Oryctolagus cuniculus: one gene and its partner. The protein of the gene in region 2 purifies or fractionates together with the protein of the main gene of each other region. This does not show direct contact. Links are inferred from orthologs where the notes say so. Each region holds a gene or a part of one and is shown on either strand. Other genes may lie near its edges.

The links. The genes of interacting proteins can lie anywhere in the genome.
Region 1: the proteins of PNMA2 (region 2) and RECQL4 purify together in Homo sapiens (affinity purification with mass spectrometry; 3 studies listed by BioGRID and IntAct, with this or other methods). This does not show direct contact. The link is inferred for Oryctolagus cuniculus from reciprocal best matches to the Homo sapiens genes PNMA2 and RECQL4.

Annotation. Positions count from the first base shown.
Region 1 is NC_091437.1:168,206,628-168,210,371, forward strand, and holds the end of RECQL4 (ATP-dependent DNA helicase Q4), read right to left. Parts: intron 3,738-3,744; coding exon 3,555-3,737; intron 3,481-3,554; coding exon 3,301-3,480; intron 3,233-3,300; coding exon 3,091-3,232; intron 3,005-3,090; coding exon 2,754-3,004; intron 2,687-2,753; coding exon 2,395-2,686; intron 2,319-2,394; coding exon 2,189-2,318; intron 2,101-2,188; coding exon 1,931-2,100; intron 1,856-1,930; coding exon 1,675-1,855; intron 1,604-1,674; coding exon 1,444-1,603; intron 1,329-1,443; coding exon 1,220-1,328; intron 1,138-1,219; coding exon 1,013-1,137; 3' UTR 870-1,012; coding exon of another isoform or gene 696-869; 3' UTR 620-695; coding exon of another isoform or gene 510-619; 3' UTR 508-509; downstream 1-507. Other genes in the region: MFSD3 (major facilitator superfamily domain-containing protein 3), read left to right, coding at 1-6, 84-231, 318-442, 510-619, 696-869. UniProt on the Homo sapiens protein: An ATP-dependent DNA helicase which unwinds dsDNA with a 3'-overhang in a 3'-5' direction. Does not unwind more than 18 bp of dsDNA. May modulate chromosome segregation. The N-terminal domain (residues 1-54) binds DNA Y-shaped DNA better than ss- or dsDNA.
Region 2 is NC_091433.1:47,729,563-47,733,306, forward strand, and holds the start of PNMA2 (paraneoplastic antigen Ma2), read left to right. Parts: upstream 1-941; 5' UTR 942-1,039; intron 1,040-3,744. Other genes in the region: DPYSL2 (dihydropyrimidinase-related protein 2), read right to left, coding at 257-610.

The DNA of each region.
Region 1 (3,744 bases), on a different chromosome or scaffold from region 2:
AGCTGGGTGAGTGAAGCCTCAAGTCAGGCGGCAGCACGGCTCCCTGTGGGGTGTGGGCTGCTGCAGCTCAGGGTCTCCCGCAGGCGAGCAGGGCGCCGGCAGCCTGCTGCCCCTCCTCCTGCTGGACCGCGGCGCCTCCGCCCCCGAGCTGGGGCTCTGGAACGGCGTGGGCGCCGTGGCCTGCTCCATCGCTGGCTCTGCCCTGGCCGGGGCCCTGCTAGCCAGACACTGGTGAGCGCCCTGGACAGCCCCCCCACCCCCGCCACCTGCTCCCCACCCCCCAGTGGCTCCATGTCCCCACCCCCGCCCCGTCCCAGGCGGCCGCTGCCCCTGCTGAGGTCACTGCTGCGGCTCCGCCTCGGGGGCCTGGCCTGCCAGACCGTCCTGCTCTTCCACTTGGACTCCCCAGATGCCAGCGTGGGCCCTGCCTCCGTCCTGAGAGGTAAGGGGCTGGCCTCGGGGAGGGAGGGCTGGGAGCCTGGGCCCTGTGACCAGTCCCCCCCCCCCAGGTGCAGCCTTGCTGAGTCTGTGCCTGCAGCACTTCCTGGGGGGCCTGGTCACCACCGTCACCTTCACCGTGATGATGCGCTGCAGTCAGCGGGCGCCCAGGGCCCTGCAGGTGAGGGCGTGAGGTGGGGGCGCCCGGGGCCGCTGGCTGGGCAGCTGTGCAGGCTCTGACCCCGCCCCCACCACAGGCCACGCACTACAGCCTCCTGGCCACGCTGGAGCTGCTCGGGAAGCTGCTGCTGGGGGCCCTGTCTGGAGCCCTGGCCGACGGCCTGGGCCTGCGGCTCTGCTTCTCTCTGCTGCTCGCACTGTCGGCCCTGCCCCTGCTGGACCTTGGCCTGGCCCCCAGCACGCTGGCCTGAGCCAATAAAGCAGGGCGTGCCGTGGCCCGAGTGCTGTGTCTGGACGTGTTGGGTGCCTTTTATTCTGCACTTTGCAGCCTGCCTGTCCACCCGCCCCCGTGCTTGTCCATGCTGTGTGCTGTGCCCCCCCCCCCCCCCGGCAGTCAGCGGCACGGCGGCAGGAGCTCCTCTGTGGCCAGGCGCACCAGCCCGTGGAAGTCCAGGTGCAGATACTTCCTCCAGAAGCGCTGGTCCTGCCCGTACACCTGGGCGGGGTAGCAGGGGCTTCCTGCAAGGGAGGAGCGTGCGGAGCTGAGCTGGGGGCCGCCTCCGCCCCAGCCCCCGGCCCTAGGCTGGCCCTGCGCCCTCACCGATGCCGTGGAAGATGCGGGCCAGGGTCCTGCCCGAGAACCTCTCCTCGGGCCGCAGGGACAGGAGCAGGCGGATGTCGCGGCGGATCTGCTCCTCCCAGTCCTGCAGCTGCGGGCGGGCGGGCACGTCAGTCTCCCCAGGCCCCCTGGCACCGTGGCTCACACAGCCAAGGCCCTGGGTGGCCTGGGGAACCTGGAGCCAGGCTCACCCAATCTGGACTCACTCTGGCCTGCCCCAGCTCCGGTGCCTGCTGGTCCTCAAGTCCCAGCTCCTCGGCCTCTCCCCCTTCTTCCTCAAAGTAGCGGCCGAGCAGGGCCTTGAGCCGGGCGCTGCGCTCCTCGTCCACCTGCTCCAGGCAGGGCCCGCAGCTGGGGAAGGCCACGCTGCAGAGACAAGCCTGTCAGAACCGGGCTGCACAGCTGGCCCGTCCCCAGCTCTGGCCACTCTCTCCCACCTGCGAAAGGCCTGGAAGGTCTGGCACAGGCGAGCCAGGGCCTTGCGCTCACGGGCCTGCACACAGCCATACAGGAAGTCGCAGATCTGGTCCAAGTCCTCCGCCCTCAGGTCGCCGGGGCTCCGCAGGTGGAAGGCCGGCTCCTTGAACTCCACCAGCACACCTGTGCCCCTGGGTGCACCTGCCAAAAGCGCAGCGTCCCAAGCTGGCAGGCAGCAGGGCCTGGGCTGGGCTGGGCTGGGGGGGCTGGGCTCACCTCTCCTGGACTCTGGGTCCCACTGCAGCTGGCGGAGAGCCCGCTGCACAGAGGCCAGCTCCCAGCCGCTCGCGTCCACCAGCTCCAGCATGTCCAACTCCACAGAACTGCGGCTGTGCCTGGGGTCCTCAGGTGACCACTGGGCGAAGTGTGCAGCCAGAGGGGGACACCTGTGCCCGGGGTGGGGGGTGGGAGCACACATCAGACCAGCAGCCCCTTCCTCTGTCCCCGTCCCCAGCCTGGGGGGGGGGTGCTCACCTATGGGCAAGGGCCTGGAGCTGAGCGGGGCCCCCAGGGCAGCGCAGATGGCAGCGGGTGTGGGCGGCGGGCAGCAGCTCCAGCCAGTGCCGAGGGTGCAGCTCCAGGTAACACAGCAGAGTCTCTATGGCTAGGGCCAGAGCAGGGCTCAGGGCACACAGGATGGGGCCCTCCTCACACCCCAGGCCCTCCTCCGGGTCCCTCACCCTCCTCCGGCATGTCCAGTGCCTGCACTGTCTGCTGTGCTGGGAGCAGCCGCTCGTGACCAGAGCAGGCTCTCCTGCCGGACGCGGGGGCTGCCTGCTGGCCGTGGTGCCGCTGGGCCTCCTGGGAGGGGGGGCCTGCCGCGGGCCTCTCGCCGCCCACACCTCCCTCCTGGGCTGGGAGCAGCTGGGAGCAGGTGCAGGGCGCAAACGCCCACTGCACCAGCTTCTTCACGGCCAGGAAGTCCGTGCCGTCAGCGTGCACGTGTCTGCGCAGCTCCCGGAGGTCTTCACCCTGCAGGGGACAGTCGTGAGGAGCGGCCAGGGTGGCGGACACCCCCGCGGCCAGGAGGGGGACCAACCTGGGGCTGCAGGAAGAGGTGGCAGTGGGCAGGCTGCCCGTCACGCCCAGCCCGGCCCACGGCCTGCACGTAGCTCTCGACGCTCGGGGGCAGCCCCAGGTGCAGCACGGCCCGCACATCCGGCCGGTCCAGCCCCATCCCGAAGGCCACCGTGGCCACCACCACGCGCAGCTGGCCCTGCATGAACGCCCGCTGCACGCGCCGCCGCTCCTGGCTCAGCATGCCGGCGTGGTAGGCTTGGGCCACGGCCTCTGGAGAAGGCAGACAGGCAGCCGCTGGCACGAAGGCATGGGTGCCCAGGCGGAGTCCTCAGGGGCCCCAGCCCTGCCTGCCTCACCTGCGGGCCCCAGGCCCGGAGCCCCACGCAGGCAGGTTCGCAGGAGCGCGGCGATCCGCTCCGTGTCCTCGCGCCGGATGCAGTACACGATGATGGAATCCAGCGCCCGGAAGCGCTCGCCCTGCAGTAGCGTCACCACAGCCTGCCGAGGGGCAGTGTCAGAGCGGCCGCCTGCAGGGGCCCCGGGGCCCCTGGGCTGTGCACACCCACCTGCTCGGGGTCCCTGTCCATGGACACGGAGAGATGCAGATTCGGGGGGATGGCAACCGGCCCGCCGAGGCCCAGCTCCTCAGCCACGCCCAGGTGCTGGGCCACGTCACGGGCAGTGCTCCGTGTGGCGGTGGCTGTGAGGCCCAGGAAACAGCGCACGCCCATGCGTTCCCGAAGCACCTGTGCCAGAGGTGGGTCACTGAGCCCAGGTGGGCCCTGGTCCGCTCACCCACCCAGACCCGTCCGCGGCTCACCTTGCAGACGCGCAGGTAGCAGGGCCGGAAGTTGTGGGACCACTGGGACAGGCAGTGAGCCTCGTCGATGCACGCGAAGGCCACAGGAGGCAGCTGGGCGGCCAGGGGGAGGCCGGCAGGGCCCCCGGCCCCCACCAGTGCTTCGGGGGACAGCATCAGCACATGCACCTGGGCTGCGCGCACCTGAAGC
Region 2 (3,744 bases):
CCCCGATCGGCCAGTCCCTGACGCCCATCCACTTCCCAACCCCCGAGCCCGGGGAAGCGCGAGCAGCCTTTGTGGGCGCACGGCCGCCCACCGCCGCGCCCTGCGCGCAGAAGGGGCGGGCAGGGTGGGGTGCGCGTGCGGAGGCGGAGAGGCCGCGGTCGCGGCAGGGCACGAAGGCAGGCGCCCAGGCTGCAGGGGCGAGGGGCGAGCTGGCGCCCGAGCGCCCGCACCCACTTACCTCCCCGCACACACCCACCTGGTCGTAGATGTTCTGTAGGGCTTCCTTGCCCGAGGCCCGCCGTATCTCCACCTTCCTGCCGGATTCAACAGATGGCTCCCCGCCGGCGCGCCGGCCCTGCCGCGAGTACGGCGTCTGAGGGTCCGGGCCCAAGTGGGCGACGTCCCGCTGCTGGGCCACCACCTGCCCCGAGCCCCGGCCCACCGACAGCGAATCGAAGTCGATGGTCTTGTTCTCCGAGGACCCTTCCACCGGGCAGAACATGCCACAGAATTTCTGCCGCGGCTTGGGGCTGCCCGAGCCCAGATTTTTAAAAAAGGCAGGGACCTCTTCGTCCTCTGCCGCCTTCCCGGACTGCTTCCTCTCGGCCATGGCGCGGGGCTGGGGAGGGTCCCGTCCGTGCGTGCGTGCGCTGGTCCTTCAGGCTCCCTCTCCGCGTGCACAGACCGCGCTGCCGCTCTCTGCCCACCGCAAGGTGCACAGAAAGGAAGGCGGGCTGGCGAGCGGGCGACCCACCCTCCCGGCCCCGCCCCCTGACCCCGCTCTCTCCCCTCCCTGCCCACGCCCCCCGCGCAAGCTAGCGGCAAAGTTGAGTCTGGGAGGGCCGCCGCTGCGGCAGCCGGAGCCGAGACGCGGCCGGTTCCCGGCAACGTGGGGCGGGGCGGGGCGCGCGCGGGACCCGGGCGGGGGGGGGGGGGGAGGGCGGCGCCTCGCGGAGCCCCGCGCTCCGGAAGTGAAGCGGCCAGACCCCCGGCTAATGGATGCGGAGCGCAGGGCGCGCTCGCCGCTCTCGGCGCCACCGTAAGTAGCAGGCCGAGCACGCGCGGAGAGGACCCATGGGCGCAGCCCCGGCGCCCCGCTCCCCCGCCACATTGCGGAGTGGGTCGGGGGCGAGGCCGCAGAACTCTCCCCCCCGCCCCGCTCCGTTTTACCCGGGTGGGAGCTGGTGGAGGGGGAAGGGGCGACCAGCTTATTTAGGCACCGGGATTGTCACAGGGAAGGCGTGGCGGAGAGGGTGGCAGTAGGAGTGGGAAAGGTGTGGCGCAGGCGGCGCCGACCGCACCGGGGGACCCCCCAGGCTCGCCGACGCTAGTACTGCCGTGCACCGACGCCGAGGGGGGCGGCAGGAAGCAGAGACCCGCGAGAAGGTTCTCGCAGGTTGCACGTGGTGGAGGGTGCGGAGGCGCAACAAGGCCGGGAGTAAAGCGCAGGGGCGTTGCAAAGTGGAAGACGGGGTAGCGTAGCGAGACGCAGGTGGACGGTTTGTGTGAGCGTAGGCAAGACTGCAGCCTGCACGTGCCAGCCCAGCGGAATCTGCAGAGAGAGGTTGCAGAGTCGCTGTATTGCCTGAGGGCCGCCATGCCGCCTCTGCGCCAAGATTTGGTATCTTCCATCTCCCCCGCCAAAAAAAAAAAAAAAAAAAGGTGGGGGAGAAGCGGGGTGAGGGCCACTCCCTAAGCCTTCAGCCTGCTCCCGCATCCGGGCACTGTGTCTGTGCCCCCTCCCCTCGCCCCTGTTGGCGCAGTGCGCCAGAGCGGCGGGCGGAGGAGGTGCCTCGATCTGTGCGGCGCCCCGCGGAGACCAGGTGCGGACCGCGGCGCCGGCGGCGCGGCTCTCCGGGGCGCATGGCGATTCGTGTGGATGAGGCTGGCCCTGCCATGCTCGTCTCCACGGCCTTCCCCCGTTTCAGCCCCTCCTTTAGCAGTGTGCTGAGGGAGGTCGGCGCTGAGAGAGGCAGCAGACCACGGGCCCGGTGACCGAAGACTCAGCCCGCACCCCCAGAAGGATGAAATTAAACCACGCTTCCCCACAGGGCGAGGCCCGGTCGGTCGGCTGAATAAAGTTTGGAGGAGAACCAGTCAGTCTGTGGGGACGGCGTCTCCGCCAAGTGGGAGGGGCCGAGGAGCCAGGCAGGCATTTTGAATCCCCGCACCAGATGTGCTTTGCATTTGAATAAAGCGCTTCTCTCTGAGTTACATCATTTCCTACTCACCGCAGTCCTGGGAGAGGACGGGTTTTATCACCAGGGCTTTCCAGGTTAGGAAACTGAAATTCAGGGAGATTGGAGGCATGCTGCCCAAATCTAGTGAAATGACCCAGTAATAACAGTGTGGGGGGGGGGTCTTCCGGCTCCAACTGCGGGTGTGGTTCCCTGAAATGTGAAAAAACTCAAGAGTCGGACATTTTTTCCACATCCAGGGGTTTCCATCTGGGGCCCTATTCCACGTTAAATGCATTGCCCTCGCCATCTTTCTAATTGAGGGGCAAGGAGGGATGGCACTTGAGAGAGTGGTCCCAAGGTGACAGCTACGTGGGTCTTAGAGGTGTTGCTTTCTGAGCGTTCAAAGCCTTTCCTCCAAGGGGCAGGAAGGCCAGCCCCATGGTGTAGAAGGGAGAAGTTCATCATGGAAGAGCCAGGAGTCTCCAGCCCCCGGAGCTGCTCAGCGCAGACTTCCCTGGCACCTTCCAGATGGACGCGGTATGTCTGCCGCTGGTATAGCTGCAGGTGACTTCTGTGGCATCTGGACGGCTGATGGAAGTTTTCAGGCCAAAGAGGAAATGATCTTAGCTCCCTGACACACCCTCCCCAGTGCTGATGATCGCAGTCCACAAGCAACAGTGGTGGTCTCCCCAAGAGTGTATCATCATGACCATCCTGGTTTGTGTCAGTCACTCAGTGGTGTTCACCCAAGGTCCAGATCACAGTGCCTTTCTCTGAACAAATCTTCACCACTAAGCCGCACGTGACTGAGGGCATTAGGAACTCTTGCCTCCCCAAGTTCAACGCTGGGAAGAAAGTGTTGTGTTAATAACTTACTCTTATCAGCCCTAAAGGTGTTCATATCTGGCTAAAAAGCCTATGAGAGTATCTCAGGCATGGAAAGCCAAGACACTGTGGCAAAAAATGACCTAAGTAAAAGATCTCTGTGAGTGAGATCCCAGCGGAAAGAATGGGCCGTCAAAGAAGGAGGTACCTTTCCCTGAAGGGAGGAGAGAACTTCCACTTTGATTATGGCCTTGTCTAAATAAGATCAGAGTTGGCGAACTTAAGAGGCTTCCATAGCCTTGGCAGCTCCTGATGACAAGAGCCTTGGGTGACTACTGACGTCATAAATAAGAGTGTCAATTGTTAACAACAGGAGTCACTGTGCACTTACTCCCCATGTAGGACCTCTATCTTTAATGTGTTGTACTATGCGAATTAACAGTAAAACTAGTCTTCAAACAGTACTTTACACTTTGTGTGTCTGTGTGGGTGCAAACTGTTGAAATCTTTACTTAGGATAGAGTTGATCTTCGGTATATAAAGATAATTAAAAATTAAAAATGAATCTTCATGAAGAATGGGGTGGGAGAGGGAGAAGGAAATGGGATGGTTTGCGGGTGGGAAGCTGGGTGTGGTGGGAAGAATCACTATCATATAAAAGTTGTACTTTTGAAATTTATATTTATTAAATAAAAGTTTTCTATTAAAAAGAACTTATTCATAGCACAAAAAAAAACAC